Linked DNA regions of Zea mays. The main gene of each other region encodes a partner of the protein of the gene in region 2 in a complex. Links are inferred from orthologs where the notes say so. Each region holds a gene or a part of one and is shown on either strand. Other genes may lie near its edges.

The links. The genes of interacting proteins can lie anywhere in the genome.
Region 1: mediator of RNA polymerase II transcription subunit 8 (region 2) and uncharacterized protein LOC100276155 share a complex: the UniProt entries of both Arabidopsis thaliana proteins name them as parts of the mediator complex. The link is inferred for Zea mays from reciprocal best matches to the Arabidopsis thaliana genes MED8 and MED9.

The regions. Positions count from the first base shown.
Region 1 is NC_050097.1:1,834,561-1,844,851, reverse strand, and holds uncharacterized protein LOC100276155, read left to right. Parts: upstream 1-4,523; 5' UTR 4,524-4,688; intron 4,689-4,839; 5' UTR 4,840-4,874; coding exon 4,875-5,135; intron 5,136-5,768; coding exon 5,769-5,831; intron 5,832-6,306; coding exon 6,307-6,387; intron 6,388-7,700; coding exon 7,701-7,759; intron 7,760-8,059; coding exon 8,060-8,120; 3' UTR 8,121-8,392; downstream 8,393-10,291. Other genes in the region: uncharacterized protein LOC100276560 precursor, read left to right, coding at 9,323-9,724. UniProt on the Arabidopsis thaliana protein: Component of the Mediator complex, a coactivator involved in the regulated transcription of nearly all RNA polymerase II-dependent genes.
Region 2 is NC_050102.1:151,799,162-151,809,452, reverse strand, and holds the start of mediator of RNA polymerase II transcription subunit 8, read left to right. Parts: upstream 1-5,605; 5' UTR 5,606-5,739; coding exon 5,740-5,978; intron 5,979-6,131; coding exon 6,132-6,256; intron 6,257-7,238; coding exon 7,239-7,363; intron 7,364-7,465; coding exon 7,466-7,649; intron 7,650-7,781; coding exon 7,782-7,886; intron 7,887-8,203; coding exon 8,204-8,271; intron 8,272-8,508; coding exon 8,509-8,754; intron 8,755-10,291. UniProt on the Arabidopsis thaliana protein: Component of the Mediator complex, a coactivator involved in the regulated transcription of nearly all RNA polymerase II-dependent genes.

The DNA of each region.
Region 1 (10,291 bases), on a different chromosome or scaffold from region 2:
TTGCCCTATCCACCGCTGAGGCCGAGTACGTTGCTGCAGGACAGTGTTGTGCGCAACTACTTTGGATGAGGCAAACCCTCAGGGACTTTGGCTACAATCTGAGCAAAGTCCCACTCCTATGTGACAATGAGAGTGCTATCCGAATAGCGGAAAATCCTGTTGAGCACAGCCGCACAAAGCACATTGACATCCGGCATCACTTTTTGAGAGACCACCAGCAAAAGGGGGATATCGAAGTGTTTCATGTTAGCACCGAGAACCAGCTAGCCGATATCTTTACCAAGCCTCTAGCTGAGAAGACCTTTTGCAGGCTGCGTAGTGAGCTCAATATCTTAGATCCGCGGAACTTGGATTGAAATGTAGCATACATGTGTTTATGTCTTTGATCATGTTCATTCTGCATTTTGTTGCTTATTGTGGTGCTCAAGTTGTATAAACACTCCCTGGACCTCACAAGTCCTGTTTGCAAGTGATGCACATATTTAGGGGGAGCTGTGCTACAACTTGACCCTTTGAGACTAACCATGTACTTGAGTTTGGTTGTTTTAGTCTCCAAGGAGAATTGAAAGGGAAAAGGTGGACTTGGACCATGCAAGACTTCCACTGCACTCCGATGAAAAGAGTAACTTTTCCAAGTTCATCTTTATACTCTTATTGCCTTTGTGTTCTTATTTGAAGATTTTGGTGAGGCAATGGGGTTAAAGGGCCAAGATTGATCCCGTTTTGGTGCTTGATGCCAAAGGGGGAGAAAATAAAGGCCAAAACGATAAATGGATCAGCTACCACTTGAGAGATTTTGAAAATAGTAGAATAGAGTTTTTGGTTTGTCAAAACTCTTTTGTTGTCTCTTGTCAAAAGTTGGCTTCTTGTGGGGAGAAGTATTGATTATGAAAAAAGGGGGAGTTTTTGAAATCTTGAATCATTTTCTCTTGGAATGACTCTCTTTATGTCTTAACATGTGTGTTTGACTTAGAGATAGAAATTTGAGTTTGATTTGTAAAAACAAACCAAGTGGTGGCATAAAGTGATCCATATATGTCTAAATTGAATCAAAACAATTCTGAGTCCTTATTTGATTTTGATTTTGTACTTGTTCTACTTGCTTTATGTTGTGTTGGCATAAATCACCAAAAAGGGGGAGATTGAAAGGGAAATGTGTCATTGGGCCATTTCTAAGTGTTTTGGTGATTTAGTGTCCAACACAAGTGCCTAAGTGTAAAAAGGTGGACAAAGTACAAATCAAGGATAAAGGTATGTTTCTCAGACTTAGTACATTGTTTTATGAACTAATGTATTGTGTCTAAGTGCTGGAAACAGGAGAAATCCAATTGGAAATGTCTTGGCCCGAGCAGCCAAGAATCTGCTGAGTCTGGGAGCACCGGACTGTCCGGTGGTGCACCGGACAGTGTCCGGTGGTGCACCGGACAGTGTCCGGTGTGCCAGGCTGGTTCGAGCGAACTGGCCGCTCTCGGGAATTCACCGGCGACGTACGGCTAAAATTCACCGGATTGTCCGGTGTGCACCGGACTGTCCGGTGAGCCAACGGTCGGCCGGGCCAACGGTCGGCCGCGCAATCTGCGCGGGACACGTGGCCGAGCCAACGGCTAGAAGATGGCACCGGACTGTCCGGTGCGCCAACGACTCTTAGGCCGCCAACGGTCGGCTTCGCTATTTAAGGAAGGAAATCGGGCACCAGACAGTGTCCGGTGTGCACCGGACTGTCCGGTGCACCCGACGACAGAAGGCAAGAATGGCCTTCCAGATTTGCGCTCAACGGCTCCTAGCTGCCTTGGGGCTATAAAAGGGACCCCTAGGCGCATGGAGGAGAATACCAAGCATCCTTTGAGCATTATTGATCACTCACACTTCATTCTTGCGCACTTGTTCGACATTCTAGTGATTTGAGCTCCGTTCTAGTGTGCTAGTCTCTTGAGCTCAAGTCTGGGTTTTGTGTGTGCGTATTCGCTGTGATCTTTGCGTCGTGTGTGAGTTGCTAATCCCTCCCTTGCTCCGTGATTCTTTGTGAACATCTTTTGTAAGGGCGAGAGGCTCCAAGCTGTGGAGATTCCTCGCAAGCGGGATTAAGAAAAGCAAAGCAACACCATGGTATTCAAGTTGGTCTTTGGACCGCTTGAGAGGGGTTGATTGCAACCCTCGTCCGTTGGGACGCCACAACGTGGAGTAGGCAAACGTTGGTCTTGGCCGAACCACGGGATAACCACTATGCCATCTCTGTGATTGATATCTCTTGGTTATTGTGTTGTGTTGAGATCCTTCTCTAGCCACTTGGCAAATTACTGTGCTAACAATTAACCAAGTTTTGTGGCTTAAGTTTTTGAAGTTCTACAGGATCACCTATTCACCCCCCTCTAGGTGCTCTCAGGGGGGCCTTGGGCGAGACGGAAATCCTCCGGGGTCGGCTGCCCTTGTCTGAGGCTAGGCTCGGACGAGGCGTGATCGAGTCCCTCGAATGGACTGATCCCTGACTTAATCGCACCCATCAGGCCTTTGCAGCTTTGTGCTGATGGGGGTTACCAGCTGAGAATTAGGAGCCTTGAGGGTACCCCTAATTATGGTCCCCGACAATCTTCTTAATGTATTCTTTTGAGGTGTTTCTTTCCTCAGTTCCTTTGTCCAAGTAATTCTAGCATCTTGTGAACTACAAGCATAAACACTAGGAAACTCATTAGTTCACATATTGTGTTAATCATCAAACACCAAAACTCAATTAGCCAAATGGCCCGGATCCATTTTCCTTACAATCTCTCCTTGTTGGTGATTGATGACAACACAACCAAAGCAAGCAAATGATACAAGTATTTGAATGAAAGTATGCAATCTACTTGCTAGGATGCATGTTTGTCCCCTCAATGTGAGATTATGGACTTAAGCCTCCCCTAACTCCATAATTCACTTACTTCCTATTTTTGGACCAAATAACCAAAACCACTTGAAAAGCCACTTGTAGATTTTAAAATTTTAAATTGGTGGTGTTTGATGTTTGATACATTGTTCATTGCTTTGGTCCCTAAACTTCTCCCCCTTTGGTATCAACCACCGAAAAAAGAAGATATTAAAAGCATGTAGGAAGTAAATAATACTTGCCCTCATAAAGAATTTTGTCAATTGATACCAATTGCAGAATTTTGCCCTCATGTAAACTTGCCCTCATGTAAGAATTTTGCCCTCATAACGATCACGCGTCACCTAGTGTGTGTAGGCATATACTTTGTATGGCGCATTGTGCTGCCTTCCCCGGTATACGGGTCACTGTAGAGGCTCCAGTGCTGAGGTTTTTTCTATGACTGGGTTGACTGACCCCACATGGCAGTGGGGATACGCCTTAGAGCGTACGTGGTGGCGTTCAGTCGTGTCGATAGTGACCTCCTGGCGCCCCTTCGGTACGTTGCACATATGTCCGGACGTGGGTTGATGATGACGCGTCTTGTCGTAGCCATCACGGGTTAATAGCGTTAGGTTGGGACCTCCGCCTCGTATGGTTGCCCAATTTGGAGTTGGTCGACCGCTCCTCCTCAAAGGGTTGCTCAGTGGGGAGTTGGTCGGCTGCTCTGCTTTGCGAGGTTGCTCGTCGATGAGTTGGTCAGCCGCTCTGCCTCTCGACGAGGAATTGGTCGTTCGCTCCATCTTGCAAACTTGCTCGACGGAGGACTTGGTCGTCCGCTCCGCCTCGTAGGCTTGCTTGGCAGAGGGTTGGTCGGCTAATGGGCCGGAAGGAGGTTGTGGGCTTACTTTTGGTTACCCTGTTCCTAGGTACATGACAATTTACATAGTAGAGTTCTATTTGGTAGAGCTCTTTTAATGGCCCCTCAACAGCTTCTTCAAAAAGGCTACCAAATGGTGGGCTCCTCTCGTGGCTTCTCCATAAAAATAGGAAGGAGATGTCCCTAAAAACCGAGGAAAGCCCAGAGCCTAAAAAGGAGGCTTCTCTGACTCGACTCTCTCTTGTCACTCACCCTCCCATGAAAATAGGAGTAGTTGTGTTTTAACTAAATAGAGTGTTCTCCAAGGGTTACTAAAAATAAGGATCAAACTATTTTTTTCAGATGAGCCAGAAGGAAAGCCGGTGATGCAAAAATCCTACCAAAAGGGAGCCTCAGAAGAGTCAACCCACTTTATAATAGTACACATATTCAAGTTTTAAAATTATATATAACCTTAAAAATCATCTATATATTTTGAGCTTTTAAAGTGGGCTAACACGAACCCTACTAGATGTTAGTGTCGGCATGACATGATTAGACACTATAGTGCCGTGTCTAGACAATAGTACTAACACATCACGACACATTTACTAATAGTGTCTAATAACACCATTAATGCTGGACAGACAATCTATTTAGCCATCTATAGATGAATAAGGTTAAAAAACACTATCTATCTCCTCTCGTATCTAATATCTATCCACTATTTCAACTCCAACGCTACAAACAAAGGTATGACTATCGTACAACAACAGTTCTTTAGACGGCCATATCAGCTGGACACAGCCACCGTACTCCGAGATTAGCGCCCCCGTCGGCCAAACAGTACCGGACTGGCCGCCGTTCACAGTTCACGCCCCGCGTGGTCCCTATTTCCCGGCGAGCACTAGGCTACCGCCGCCGCCGTCAGGTGCCGGTGCCCAGACCTTCGTCGTGCCCATTTCACCGGCGACGAGCACCCACTAGGTATGCCCGTCCCTCCTCTCCCCTATCTGCTTTGCGAAACCGAGCACTCAAAACCTAGCTTAAGAATCGGATCTGATTCAGGAGTAATTGCAAGTATATGCATGTATTATTATGCCTACTAAATTACTAATAACTTCGATTTTTCCAATAGCCCCTGCCCGCAGGTGTTGGGAACTGGGGATAGAGATGGATCACCACCACCCGCAGCAGCAGCAGCAGCAGTACGGCGATCCTTACCGTGGGCTCATGACGTCCCCGCAGCCCGACCACCACCTCCACGCTCTTCAGTACCATCAGCCGCAGCCGCAGCAACAGCCGGCGCTTATGTCTCCACCGCAGCCACAGCCAGCACTGATGTCTCCACAGCCGCAGCAGACACTGATGTCTCCACCGCAGCCGCAGCAGCATCACCACGCCTCTCTTGCCTCCCACTTCCACCTCCTACATGTAAGTAACGGAGTGTTTGGAGTTGTGTGGAGTTTTGTGTTTTGGGGGCCTTTGCTCTTAGTTTAAGATAGCATAGATGATACATACCCTCAAATGAACCCTTCTTTTTGTAGTGATGTCATTGATGTTGTTGGAGTGTGCCCTTTGTGCACCGGAATTTCAAAATTCTGAACTTGGGATTTTGCTAGTCATTAAAGATTGTCATTAATTTGTCCTGTATTTGTTGCTCAGCGATTGCAATTTCTTCACACCATGATTTGTCACTTTGGCCGGTAGTGAAGATTGCCATATTATAGGTGTACATGAACGATATACAAGCGTCAGAGCGTGCAACATTGGTAATGGCCAGAGAAAATGTTGATTCTAATCACTCGAGTTGGTTTGACAAGAAATACATAAATTAAAAATATATATGAGGGCACTTTAGGTATTGTAGGTTTTCTTAAGCTGGCAATCACATGTCTGTATTGGCATCTAACATTTAGGCTTATTTCCAATGGCTTTTTTGCAAGTAGCAAATCTTTGTTTCCACTTTTATGATGGCTCTTCTTCCTTTTACTCTTTGAGAAAGTACTAGAATGTATTGTGAAATACTGATAGTTTTCTTCTTTGCATAATTTTGTTCTCTGTTAGTTGGTTACAAGATTAGCCGATGCTATTGGTACAGGAACAAGGGACCAAAATTTCGATGCACTGGTAAGAATCACCATTTACTAATTTTCATTTGTTTTATGGATCAATGTTCTTGTACTCATAGTGCATGATCTTGTCAGAAACAATAGTTGTAGCTTCTTCTAGGCGTGGAGCCTGAATATTCTTATACAGAGTTTGAATTGACATGTGATGTAATTCTTAAATCACTTCCCAGAGAAGAGACAGGTCACAAACAATGCTCTAGTGTTGGTGGTGCACAGGAAGCTTGGGACCAGCCCAGGGTGACAGGGTCTGCACGGTTCAGTTTTCCATAGCCAAAACCAAGCCAGTGGAAGACATACCCTTAGTTATGCAATTATGCAATTGCAGAAGCATGTTAAAATTACTACTATGTATTGTGTACTTCCATGCTGATTTCTTATAGAATACCAGCTAAACACCATATTTTTCCCAGCGTTTTGCTAAATCCTAATTCCAATAGCTACTGTATTAAGAGAAGCTTTTTATATATATCTAGGTTGAAGAATTGACCAGCCAGTTTGCTAGGTGCCAACAATTGTTGAACTCCATATCGGGAACAATAAGCTCAAAGTCTACTGTAAGTTCTGTTACTTCTCTTTCCTGACTCATATGCTTTATTCTTAGTGGTCTTCTGAATTTGATAATAATTACTAAGTTAAATTGAACTATTCTGGCTAATGAATCTCAATTACTTTGTTTTGGTATCCAATAAAATTTTCAATTGCACAAGAATTAAGAATTTTTTCCAGAAATGGATAATAAGACGGGGTATAGTAGATCTGTTGCAGGTTTTTGTGTTGTCTCATAAAATGTCTATAAATATTCATGTCTCTAGGCAAATCCTTTTAAAAAGTTAATTCACATTTATTTAAACATCAACAGGAGCATTGCCATATTATATAGAAGGCATGGGACTAAAAGGCTTTCTTTGGGACTGCCCCAACTTGATTGGAGCTAAAAGGCTTTGTTGTTGCCAGAAGCACTAGCATATCATATAAGAACTCAAATGTGCACGGTGCACACATGTTGTCCTCATGCTCAAACACGGATGAGGCTGCCCAAGCAGTCTTGGAACGTGCCTACTGAGCAACTCACACACATAGAGGCTTAGTCCCCTCTGATGAAAATCCCGTGTGACACCTGAGTCGCCCCAGTCAGGGATCAAACTCGGGTAGTAGCGCTCGCACGGTCGCACCGAGCGGCCTTAGTGCCTTACCACTGACTTACTGAGCCATTGTTTTGTTTTCTAATTCACAATTATTAGTTGTTAAGAGTGTCTAAAGTTTGGCTAGTTTTGGCAGTTTTTACTGCTGGGTTACTAGTACGTAATAACTGATGTTACTAGCCAGTAGGGACTGTCGGTTTAGTGGAGACCGGCATGAGCTGCCTTCCTTAAAAAGCCCTAGTTTTCCAGTTGATACCGGTGTCAGTGCTGTCATTACGATCTACAATATTTAGAACCATTTTAATAGACCTAATATTGCTAATTTTATATGTTGTATGGTGCTGGTTATTTTGTGAATTTCAAAGAAATTGGTGGAATATTGCTCGATCAGCACCATTGGTGATTGCCTGGTTTACCCAGTACCAGCTGCAATACATTAAATATTGGAAACATGTTTTTATAGCATGATTGCTGTTGATGACCATTTTAAATAAGTTAGTCAACAATGTGTATTAATGTGTTGACCTTTTCTTTTGTAATTTGTTTTGGATTAATGCATTATATGTAACAAATGTGCATATGCATTATGAATCTCACCCAAAAACTAGATGTATGTTGAGTTGCAACGTAATTGTAGTCCTGTCTTAAACATGTAAGAACCAGAACCAGTTATTGATGCTTGAAGTTTCAGTACTCATGGTAATTGCTGTATTTGTTACCAACAGACGGTTGAGGGACAAAGGCAGAGTTTGGACGAAACACGGCAGCTGCTTGATCAAAGAAAGTAAGTTCCGCTGTCTGCCTATATATTTTAGAAAACTACGTGTGTGTTGTCTTAGCGGCAAAAGGGAAAAAGATTGTTTCGTAGCTTGTGCCCCGTATAACCCAGGATGTATGGCCATGGTTTTCGAAAGATACCTTTAGAAATCCCAACCTAAGTTGGTCCAACCAGAAGTGATTGATGACCAACCCTTCAACAGTAAGGGGCCAGCATGACTGCTTCAGTTTGTGGATTTGTACAAGTCACGAGATTTACTCTGCCTTTTAAGTACGTTTAACTTACCAATGTACATCTTTCTGTCAGGGAGTTGATTACAAAGTACAGAGGCTCTGTCGAAGAGCTCCTTAAGGGAGATCAAAGATAAAGAAAGCATCATAAGGCTTAATATTTAAGGATTTATTGTCGTCAATACTTGAACTCTGTTACTTGAATTCGGTGGTATGCATCAATAGAGCCGGAAGATGTTCTGGAGTAAGGACCTGGCAGTGTGATACGGGAATTTGACATCTGAATAGATATTCTCCCTTGTCCCTCTGGTAAAAAAAACTGTTGTCACATTTGCCTTCGCTGTGACTTGGATGTATCATGTATATCTTTGACCATTGATATCTTGGTTAATCAGACGGTGCATTACAATCCTGGCCTCATTCATATACCACGATTGGTTTGCATAAGTAGTACCCCTCCGTTTCAAATTATGTCGTATTTTGATTTTTTTAGATACACTTTTTATATAATTTTCTATTTTAAATTAGGTGTTTTATGTAATATGTATCTAAGTGTATAATAAAATATATGTATCTAAAAGCTGTAATTTAGTATAAATTAGAATGGTGTATATCTTCAATGTATGACAAATAATTTGAAATGGAGGAGGGTATGAAAAGCCAAAACCTCCTAGAATATGGAATGGAGGGAATACATACAAATTCTTTGCTTCAGTTAAAAGAAACGAGAAAAGGAGGGGAATGGGGAATCGTACTTCAGTTTTTACGAGTTTCCAACAAACATGTATGCACGTCTTCCCTTGGTTGATGCATCTTTTTGGCAAATCTTCGTTTAATTGCGGCTTCTTTTTTATACCGTTCGAAGGTTTTCGTCGTCAATGCTGAAACTCCACTTTCACCACCTTCGGTTGCATCTGCTTGCTTTCAATTCACCTCTAATTAGTCCAAGTGTTTCATTGGACGAAGGTCCAAGTCCTTCAGATCATCTCAATTTTCTTTGATCTGAAACAACAATTTAAAATTGATTTTGTTACCTTGACTTGTCGAAGGCCTTCGAACGAACGGTACTGTAAAAATACGGTAGCTCAGATTTGTGATTTCAATTCGATTCGGGTCTCCTGGCTGGATGAAACCGATGCGAGAGAAGAAAAAAAAATTGTTGCATGTAGTTGGCGCCTGTCACCCAACCAAACCAGTAGTTGAGGCACGCCCTGTTTGCTCACGATCACGAACGTACAGCACTATAAAACACGCAGGGACTGGAAAGCGAGATTTCACAGCTGAAAGCAGCCAAAACGCAGAAGCTGCACTGCATACATCGAGCTAACTATCTGCAGCGATGTCTCGCTCCTGCTGCGTCGCCGTGTCGGTGCTTCTCGCTGTCGCCGCGACAGCCAGCGCCACCGCGCCGGCATGGCTGCACGAGGAGGCCATGGCCACGGGCCCGCTGGTCGCAGAGGGTGCAAGGGTGGCGCCCTCCGCGTCCACCTGGGCTGCCGACAAGGCGTCGCCGGCGAGGCCGAGCGGCGGCATGGCCACGCAGGGCGACGACCAGAGCTCGTCGGGCGGCAGTGGCAGCAGCGGTGAGCACGGCAAGGAGGAGGGCGAGAAGCAGGGCAAGAGCTGCCTCACCAAGGAGGAGTGCCACAAGAAGAAGATGATCTGCGGCAAGGGCTGCACGCTCTCGGCGCACAGCAAGTGCGCCGCCAAGTGCACCAAGTCCTGTGTCCCCACCTGCTAGGAGCCGAGGCCGGAGCTTGCCGGCGGCGAGACCTCGATCGATCGAGTGCTTCACTTCACTTCTTTGTTATAGTTCTTGTGTGTTGCCGTTGCGTTGCGTTGCGTAGACGAAGGGAATAAGGAAGGGTAATTGGATTACCTGTTCCAGATCTCTGTGTAAGCGTGTTGTCGTGACAAGTCATTTGATCCAGAGCGAGCGATGGATAGATCGCGCTCGCAGTTTTAATTGCAATGCTAGTTCAATATGTCTGCATCATGTTGGCAACTACATAGTCCAGATTCAAACCGAGATCGCTGTTTAGCATGCCAGCATAATAATATCAGTACAATCATATTATATTTTATACAATTGCACAATCTGTCTCTAGAGATGTAGGAATTCTACATCGGGTTATAGCATCACAAACCCAGCCCCATCATGTTTAATTCATCCCCATATTCATCCTCATACTTATCATAGGTGCAAAACTCATTCCATACTCATCTCTATTTGGGTTTAGGGTCTCCATCCCTAATTAAGGGATAACTGGATACTAACAACTAGCACAAACTATCCAGATTTCAGACA
Region 2 (10,291 bases):
AATTCTAAGGTTAGAGATAGTGTCATGGCAAATGCTAAGCTCACTAGATAATTTTTCACATTTTTCTACTTCCCGAGCATAAGCATTTTTACCTTAACATGATTTTTTCTTTGATAAGGAATTCCTCTTGGCTATCCAAGAGTTCATCCTTCTCATGAATAGCTCCTACCAATTCATTTAATTTTTCCTTTTGTTGCATGTTTAGGTTGGCAAAAAGGGCAATCAAATTATCCTCATCATCGCTAGAGCTACTCTCATCACTAGATGTTGCATATTTAATGGAGGCTCTAGATTTTACCTTCTTCTTTTTGTCGTCCTTTGCCATGAGGCACTTGTGGCTGATGTTGGGGAAGAGGAGGCCTTTGGTGACGGTGATGTTGGCGGCGTCCTCGTCGGAGGAGGAGTCGGTGGTGCTCTCATCAGAGTCCCACTCCCGACAAACGTGGGCATCGCCACCCTTCTTCTTGTACTACCTCTTCTTCTCCTTCTCCTTTCCCCTCTTGTCGTCGCCCCTGTCACTATCACTTGATAATGGACATTTAGCAATAAAGTGACCGGGCTTACCACACTTGTAGCAAACCTTCTTGGAACGGAGTTTGTAGTCTTTCCCCTTCCTTTGTTTGAGGATTTGGCGAAAGCTTTTGATGATTAGCGCTATCTCCTCATTGTCAAGCTTGGAGGCGTCGATGGGGAGCCTACTTGACATAAACTCTTCTTTCTTCTCCTCCATCGCTTTGAATGCGACGGGTTGCACCTTGAATGTGGAGGTGGTGCCTCGCTCGATGATTTGTTTGGAGCCTTTGATCATCAATTCAAAGCTCACAAACTTTCCTATAACCTCCTCGGGAGACATTATCTTGTATCTACGATCACCACGGATTAATTGAACTTGTGTAGGGTTAAAAAAACGAGTGATCTTAGAATAACCTTGACCATTTCATGGTCATCCCATTTTATGCTCCCGAGGTTGCACACTTGGTTCACTAAGGTCTTGAGCCGGTTGTACATGGCTTGTGGCTCCTCTCCTTGGTTGAGCATGAATCGACCGAGCTCCCCCTCGATCGTTTCCCGCTTGGTGATCTTGGTCACCTCATCTCCTCCGTGCATGGTCTTTAGTACGTCCCAAATCTCTTTGGCAATCTTCAACCTTTGCACCTTATTATACTCCTCTCGACTTAGAGAGGCGTGGAGTATAGTGGTGGCTTGGGAGTTGAAGTGCCGGATTTGGTCGACCTCCTCCGAATCGTAATCCTTGTCCCCTACCTTCGGTACTTGCGCTCCATACTCAACAATATCCAATATGCTTTTGTGGAGTGAGGTTAGGTGATGCCTCGTTTTATCACTCTACACAGAATAATCTTCACCGTAAAAAACCGGTGGTTTGCCTAATGGAACGGAAAGTAATGGAGTGTGTTTTGAAATACGAGGATAGCAGAGGGGCATCTTACTATACTTCTTGCGCTCATGGCGCTTAGAAGTGACGAACGCCGATTCGGATCCGGAGGTGGAGGGTGACGAAGAGTCGGTCTCGTAGTAGATCACTTTCTTCATATTCTTCTTCTTGTCACCTCTCCTTTGTGACTTGATGGAGGAAGAGGATTCCTCCTTGTGCTTGTGGCCGGACTCCCTCGAGTGGGTTCTCCCCGAGCTTGCGGATTTGTCGTCGCCGGTCCCGATCTCCCTCTTGGCGTGATCTCCCAACATCACTTCGAGTGGTTAGACTCTAATGAAGCACCAGGCTCTGATACCAATTGAAAGTCGCCTAGAGGGGGGGTGAATAGGCAAATCTGAAATTTACAAACTTTAAGCACAACTATAAGTCGGGGTTAGCGTTAGAAATAAAATCGAGTCCAAAAGAGAGGGCAAAAACAAATCAACCAAAGAAATAGAGCGAATGACACAGTGATTTGTTTTACCGAGGTTCGGTTCTTGCAAACCTACTCCCCGTTGAAGTGGTCACAAAGACCGGGTCTCTTTCAACCCTTTCCCTCTCTCAAACGGTCACCTAGACCGAGTGAGCTTTTCTCCTTAATCAACGGGACACTTAGACCTCTTACAAGGACCACCACAACTTGGTGTCTCTTGCTTGATTACAAGTTGCTTGAGAACAAGAATGGGGAAGAAGAAAAGCGATCCAAGAACAAGAGCTCAAAGAACACGAGCAAAACTCTCTCTCTAGTCACTATTTGCTTGGAGTGGATTTGGGACTTGGAGAGGCTTTGATTCTATTGAATTTGTGTCTTGTATTGATTGCACTAGCTCTTGTATTGAATGTGAAGTCTGAAAACTTGGATGCCTTGAAGTGGTGGTGGTTGGGGGTATTTATAGCCCCAACCACCAAACCAACCGTTGGGGTTGAGCTGCTGTCGATGGGCGCACCGGACAGTCCGGTGCGCCACCGGACACTGTCCGGTGCGCTAGCCACGTCACCCAACTGTTAGGTTTTGACCGTTGGAGCTCTGACAGCCTGGGCCACCGGACAGTCACTGTTCACTGTCCGGTGCGCCTTCTGGCGCTGCTCTGACTCTGAGCGCACTGTCCGCGCATAGTGCACCTGTCAGCCGACCGTTGAAGTCGACCGTTGCACTTGGAAGCCGTTGCTCCGTTGGCACACCGGACAGTCCGATGAATTATAATAGAGTGGCTTTTCCAGAAACCCGAAGGTGGCGAGTTGGAGTTGATCCACCCTGGTGCACCGGACACTGTCCGGCGGCACACCGGACAGTCCGGTGCGCCAGACCAAGGTTCTCTTCGATTTCTTTTGCTCCTTTCTTTTGAACCCTAACTTGGACCTTTTTATTGGTTTGTGTTGAACCTTTGGCACCTGTAGAACTTATAATCTAGAGCAAACTAGTTAGTCCAATTATTTGTGTTGGGCAATTCAACCACCAAAATCATTTAGGAAAAAGGTTTGACCCTATTTCCCTTTCAGTGTCGGACTGGCCACGAGCCCGAAAACAAAAAAACACTTTCACAGTTCAGATTAACATACATGCCAACCAAAATACAAAAATCAACACAACTCCATATCACAAATATATTACAAGTGCATATCATAATTACAAGTCCAGTTTGACAGATTCCAAAGCATAAAATTACAAGTTCGGAATCCATAGCACAATATTACAGATAAAAGAGCACAAACTTCATCACTATATACTTAATTATGTTTCGAGCTGTGGTGCAATGATGCCTTGTTAGAAACCTTTATATGTAAAAACTCACATCTCGTGATAAAATCCTAGAAAGGAAAATAGAGAACAACCAACTCCAAATTAAAGTATTAATGTTCATTACAGTCCACACTACACACTACACAAAAAAGTTACAGTCCAGAGTCCAAACACTCATTCGTGATTTTTGACTTTCATCTTCAAGAACCATGCTTTCATGGATAACTTCCATCTCTTTGGTATCCTTCTCCACATTCTGCTGCATATGTGAGCCTGCTAATTCCCAATCCTTTATGCATGACAAAATATCCACCATATCACTTATGAGTCGGCGTCAACGTTCCTCAATCACTCTACCAACCAGACTAAAAGTTGATTCAGAAGATATAGTGGAAGTAGGAATAATCATGACATCTTTAGCAATGAGATAAAGAATATGATAGGTAAGCTTGTGTTCATGCCACCAACTCAAGATGTTGAAGTCTTCATTGAACCTGGAGACAATGTCATCGTCCATATATGAAGATAACTTTGAGATAGAGGCTACATTTGCAAAAGTAGCAGATGAGGGACCAATACTAACCGATCCAGATCCTCCTCTTACAGCACATCACTCAAAATCAAAATCATCATCACCATAGATGTCATCCCAAACCACTTTGTTTCTACCCTCATTAGCATGGCACATTTGGTGTTGTGCTCGCAAGCGTACACCACCAAACTTTGATTCATACAACTAAACAATATTTGTTAACTGAGACCTTACCATAGAGTATTTGTTAACTGAGACCTTACCTTTTGTTTCTACCCTAGAGTTCAATACGTGCAACAGAAGGAGAATACTCCCAATGTTTCAAGGACCCATTAGAATTATACTTAAGCACAGATCAAACTATACAAGCGCACTGTTGTTCTTTCTTAGCTAAGCAATTATGACGAAGCAAGTGACCAGTTCCAGAACTAGATTTACCACTTAAAGTCACCTTGCAGTACTTACAAATGGCTCCATACCATACCATCTTACCATTGACAAGGTGAGTCGGTTCATCAAAGTCATGCCACACTTTAGATCTGAGAGGACACTTACTGGAACTGGTGGCGGCGGTGCTTGTGCCGGTCGGTGTCGGGCTCGTGGATCCTGTGCCCGCTTGACCACCGGTGGCGGCACCAGGGACATCATCATCATTATCGATGTTGATGGCAACACTACTGCCAAATAGGATCCGGGCATCCTCTGCTTTGTTATGATATTCTAGCCGGTGCTCCTCGTCCACAACGGTCGGATGAAGGTCATCGTCCATGCCGTAGACAGATGGCTCCTCGCCGACGACTGGGGTCCCTGGACAGCTACGTGGCACCGACACAAGCGATACCTAGGAGATTCATCACATCCATGGGATTCCAATCAAGATCTAATACACAAGAGAAGGGGATGGAGATTAGGGTTCAGGACATAACCTGCGCAGCCGGAGCACCTTAGTCGCCTTGAGAGCACCACCGCGAGGAGGAACACCTCTGCTAAGAGGATGTCAGGAGCCGAGGATGGGGATTACTCTATTGGGATTCGGGTGTGAGGAAGGGAAGATGATGAGCGAAGAGATGAGGAGAGTATAGATGTCCAAACAAGCCGTCGCTGGTAGCCGTCACCAGTAGCCGTCGGCGGGAGAGGCGAGATTTCGTCGGTCACCAAGGAGCAAGAGGTAGGAGCCACGGGAGAAGGGGAGGGGATTAGGTTTAGGGTTTCGAGCGAGCGAATGCCGGGGGGGTGCGTCATGGGGCAGGGCCGATGTGTGTTATGCGGCGTGGAACGGACAGACGCCGTGTCTGGCTCATTTTCGTGCTGGGTCGGGCCGAGCACGACGTGCCGGCCTCAAAGCCCAAGCACGACACGTCCACCGTGCCGGGCTGTCCCGAGCTCGATGCGCAGCGAGCCGTGCCGGGTTGGTACCAGGCTTCGGATAAATTTGGCTGTCCGGCCAATATAGACATCTATACCTGTTAAACTGCTAAACAAACTTAGCATCATCAGGCATCGGCTACACTATCATTGTAAAGTCCGTTTGCTTGTAGGTTGGCTTTAATTAGCCCCAGCTCCTCTGTGTGAACTAGGAGGCGTACGTGCCATCAAATTCTGTAAAGTTTGAAGCATGCTGCAGGCAGTATACTCGTGAGGATGACACAAAAAACACATATTTAGTGATACCAATTTAATGGTGTAAATACCACCGTCTCTTTTTGTATAAGTATATTAACTCTAAGTTTAGTTAAATAAAAAATAGTTTAATATATGACGACTCTGTATGCTCATCTCATCTAGGTATACATTTTGTTAGGACTTCTCCAAATTTTGAACTCTGCATTATGAACTTTTGGATTCTGGACACATGTTTTGTCGAGTGCAGAGAATTGACTTGACTGTCCCCCGGCCCTCACATGTCAGTCTGAGCCAGACACGCAAACTGGTGGTACCGCCATAACGATCTGAAAACATCCTCCATTAGTCCGCCTCCGGCCACCCCCTTTCATTCCGCCGCAACGCCACCGCCCCCAACGCAAGTTTCCGGCGATGGACCCCGCGGCGGCCGCGCTAGGTGCAGTACCCGCCGCTGGCGCGCCACCTCCGGGCGCAGCCGCAGGGGACCAGCAGGCAGCTCCCCGGGTTGAGCGGCTCAGCGCGGGGGTGCAGCAGCAGTTGAACCTGGAGGGGATGCGCGCGCGCGCGGTGGGGCTGTACAAGGCCATCTCCCGCATCCTCGAGGACTTTGACGTCATCATACGCACCAATCCCAGCGCCTCCCCCAAGTGGTAACTTCATCCCCAGCCCCGCCCCTCTTATTGGCTATCGGCTGATGGCTGGCAGCAGTGGATTCTAGGGTTTAATTAGGATGCCTCTGCTCGTGTGGCGTCGCTGCGCGATTGCTTACTGGTATGGTATGGCTGCCTCTGGGTGAATTGCAGGCAGGACGTGCTCGGGCAGTTCTCGATGGTGAGCATGGAGCTCTTCAACATTGTGGAGGACATTAAGAATGTGTCCAAGGTGTTTGTCGTGTACCCCCGGAATGTCAATGCCGAGAATGCAACAAGTATGCCGTTCTGAGTTTTTTCCCCTTTATGGATATGCATATATCTTTTGTTATCTGTGTCAATTTGGTTATCACGTAATGGTATTTGTTTTCTTAGAAATCATAATTAATATTTAGTTGATCTAACATAGGGGAGTTTAACATCTGTTGGTTATGTTCTAGTTGCATGGTTTACTGATTCAGTCATGAAATAAATCATCTCCAGTTCAGGGACAACAATTTCCAAAGACATTAAGAGTTCTTTGCCCTTGTTTGTAAAAGTTTGGTTGGTTCAATCAAGACATGAACAACAACCTCTCTGAAAGATTATCAATGGAAGCATGTAATTTGGGAAGAAATTATCTGATATGAAAATTTGCTCAGTTTATGTGTTGAAGTTTTGCTATGTAACCAACTGTATTGAGTCCAAAGGAATCCATCAAACATTTTCCCTTATTTGACCCAACACTAAATAGTCTTTCGTTGTTCATGGTCCAGTATTGGTGAACACCTAATGAGATTATGATTTTCAACACATGATGAGATTATACGATTCATTTATGCTTCCATATATTTTTAGAAAAAAACCCTATGATTTTGTTTCTAAAGTAAGGATGAATGATGACTACAAGTATGACCAGTTGGGCTAATACTTTGCTGTGCCGTTTCTTTGGGGTCTTCTCACAAGTTTTATTACACATGAAGATTCAATCTAAGATTTTTCTTACTGTCAACTGATGTTTATTTCCAGTTGTCCACTAATCAAAATTCTGAATTAGGTTTCAGACTTTTGAAGTTTTCTACTAGCCATGGCCTTAATTTCATGGCAAGCTATTCTGAGATAAATAAACACAGTGCAAATGACCCAACAAAAATGTATTGGAAATGGTCATTCTAATTGTTCTGATGCATTGTCATCTAGTGTTCCCATTTTGCATACTATCAATGGTTTGTACAGTTATTTATTATTAGAGTTGCAGTATAATCCTTATGAATATTGCAGTACTACCTGTAATGCTGTCGTCAAAACTGCTGCCTGAGATGGAAGTTGAGGAAACTACTAAGAGAGAGCAACTATTGTCTGGAATAACTAATCTACCTGTGCCTACACAGATTGAAAAATTAAAGGTGACCAATTTAGTATGAAAAATGAAAACCTATAGCATGTGTTGCTAGCTTGATTTATCGGCTATCTATTAATTAGAATGAACCTGGTACCATCCCTTTCAGGTTAGAATAGACATGATTGGGAGTGCATGCGAAACTGCTGAGAAAGTAATTGCAGAATGCCGTAAGAGCTATGGGCTGGGAAGCCGTCAGGGGACAAATCTTGGTCCTACATTGGACAAAGCACAAGCTGCAAAGATACAGGAGCAGGAAGGCCTACTTAGAGCAGCAGTAAATTATGGTGAAGGTGAAAGGCATAGTGCTTGGTCAATATTAATAAAAAATGCAATTAGATTTCCAAAATAAAGAGTCCTTTTTACTTCTATTTTGTGTTACAATTTCAATACTTATAGCCTTACTAAAATTATCTGAATGCCAGGATTACGGGTACCTGGAGATCAGAGGCATCCACAATCTCTTCCTATCCATCTGATAGAAGTGCTTCCTTTAGGAGACGGTGCACAAAATTTTGGTGATAGTTCTGGTATGTAGATTTTCTTGTGTATCTAAACTCTCTTAATGAACCTCTCCTCGTTTTGAGTTTTAACATCTGTCGATTGTCTCATTTTCATGCGCTATAGACCGAACTCCTATTGTGCTAGGATTAGTGTTTATCCTCAATTGCTAAAATCACGACCATTTGCATTGAGATATGTGCTGTAAAAGTTCCTTATATGTTTAACATTTGCCATATTAATGGGAGATTTGTGCCGTAGAAGTTCCTTGTATGCTTAACTCTTTGGCATTTGCATTGGAGATGTATTTGACAAATGCACATCTAATTTCTATTTGTATTTGCAGGTAGTTATCCCAAAAATATGTCAACATTTGCACCTAATAGTGTCAACAGCCAGGGAAATCAGATTCAGGTTTCTGTTATAACTGAGTTATTATTATGATATTAGAAAGGGTCTATCTTCTATTGTTATCACTCTTTTGAATTGAAAACCTCTTTGGTTCATTCTGTTTTTATGACATCAGTCATCTTCCCATGGTGTTGATAGGATAGCTATTATATATCATAGGGAATGGCAATAACAAAACTCAGATAAATGTTTGATATTTCTGTTTCAGTTTCAAATTTGTTGCCTTCTTACTACTTGCAGGCATCCGGAGGACAGTTACTTGGAAGGCCTGCGCCATCACCTGGAACCACAGGAACCCCTAATTTCGAGAATGTGTCCACTCCTCCAATGCCATATGCTAACTCTCCTAGGTCAGGCACCAATATGATGAATACCCCTTCCCCCCAGCAACATCTAACACCACAACAACAGAGGCAAAAACTGATGCAACATTCTCAACCGCTTCACCAGCCGGTGAGGCCATCAGCTGCTGGGATGCTAGCACAGGTAAAGATAGGTTTACATTTGGGGCTTTGGATGTGTTTTAGTTTTATAGATTTTCTGTAGTATGTGTTTCCCTTCTTGATCCTGTTCTAGTTGGAGAGTGAGAATATGAGAAACCCTAACCCTAATCAGGGTTGGGAGTGTATATGTATAGCTGAGTGTTGTGGGCCAAGGCCCATTACAATAGAGGTATACACATAAACGTAAACAACATTCTAACACCCCCGCAGTCTCAACTCTATTCTGTACAAATGTTGAGACTGGATCGAAACTCGGCGAAAACACTCGACGGTAACCCCTTGGTGAAGATGTTGGCGAACTACAACGTAGTGGGGACGCTGAGAACCTGAACGTCACCGGCAGTGACACGCTCGTGGACGAAATGCAAGTCGATCTCCACGTGCTTCGTGCGCTGATGCTACACGAGATTGGTGGAGAGGTAGACCGCGCTGACGTTGTCGCAGTAGACGAGTGTGGCGCGTTGAAGGGGGCTGTGGAGCTCCTGGAGAAGCTGGCGCAGCCAGGAGGCCTCTGCCACGCCGTTGGCCACAGCGCGGTACTCGGTCCCTGCGCTAGAGCGGGAGACAACGGGCTGCCGCTTGGCGGCCCAGGGGACGAGGTTGGCGCCTAGGAACACGACATAACCGGAAGTGGACCACCATGTATCGGGACAACCAGCCCAGTCAGCGTCGTTGTAGACCACAAGCTCCGACGTCGCAGGGGGGGGGGGGTAGAAGACAGTATTCGAGGGAGCTGCGGAGGTAGCGCAGGATCCGCTTGAGAGCGGTGAGATGGGGCTCCCGCGGGGTGCGCATATGTAGGCACACCTGTTGGAGGATGTAGGCGATGTCGGGCCTGGAGAAGGTCAAGTACTGGAGCGTGCCGGTCAGGCTCTAGTAGGATGTCATGTCGGCGACCGGGGGCCCGTCGTCCTCAGAGAGCTTCGCCTGAGTGTCGACAGGCGTGGAGCAGGGCTTGCAGTAGAACATGCCAGCCCGCTCCAGGATGTCGATGGCGTACTGGCGCTGGTGGAGGAAGAGACCTTGAGGCCAGCGCTTGGCGGTGACGTCGAGGAAGTGGTGAATAGGCCCCAGGTTCTTCATCGCGAACTCTGTGAGCACAATGTCGTCGACGTAGAGCAGAAGGTAGACGGTGTCGTCGCGGCGCTGATAGATGAACAAGGACGTGTCCGACTTGGCCTCGACGAAGCCGATGAAGGCCAAGTAAGAGGCAAAGCGACTGTACCATGCCGTGGCGCTTGCTTGAGGCCATACAAGGAGCGGTTCAGTTGGCAGACTAGATCCGGATGAGCGGCGTCGACGAAGCTGGTGGGCTGGCTATAGTAGATAGTCTCCGTCAGAGTGTTGTGGAGGAATGCATTCTTGATGTCGAGATGATGGATCGCCCAACCCCGGGAGAGGGCGAGAGAGAGAACGGCTCGAACAATGGTGAACTTGACGACAGAGCTAAATGTCTCGTTGTAGTCCACTCCGGGACGCTGGGTGAAGCCTCGAAGCACTCAACTGGCCTTCTAGCCGTC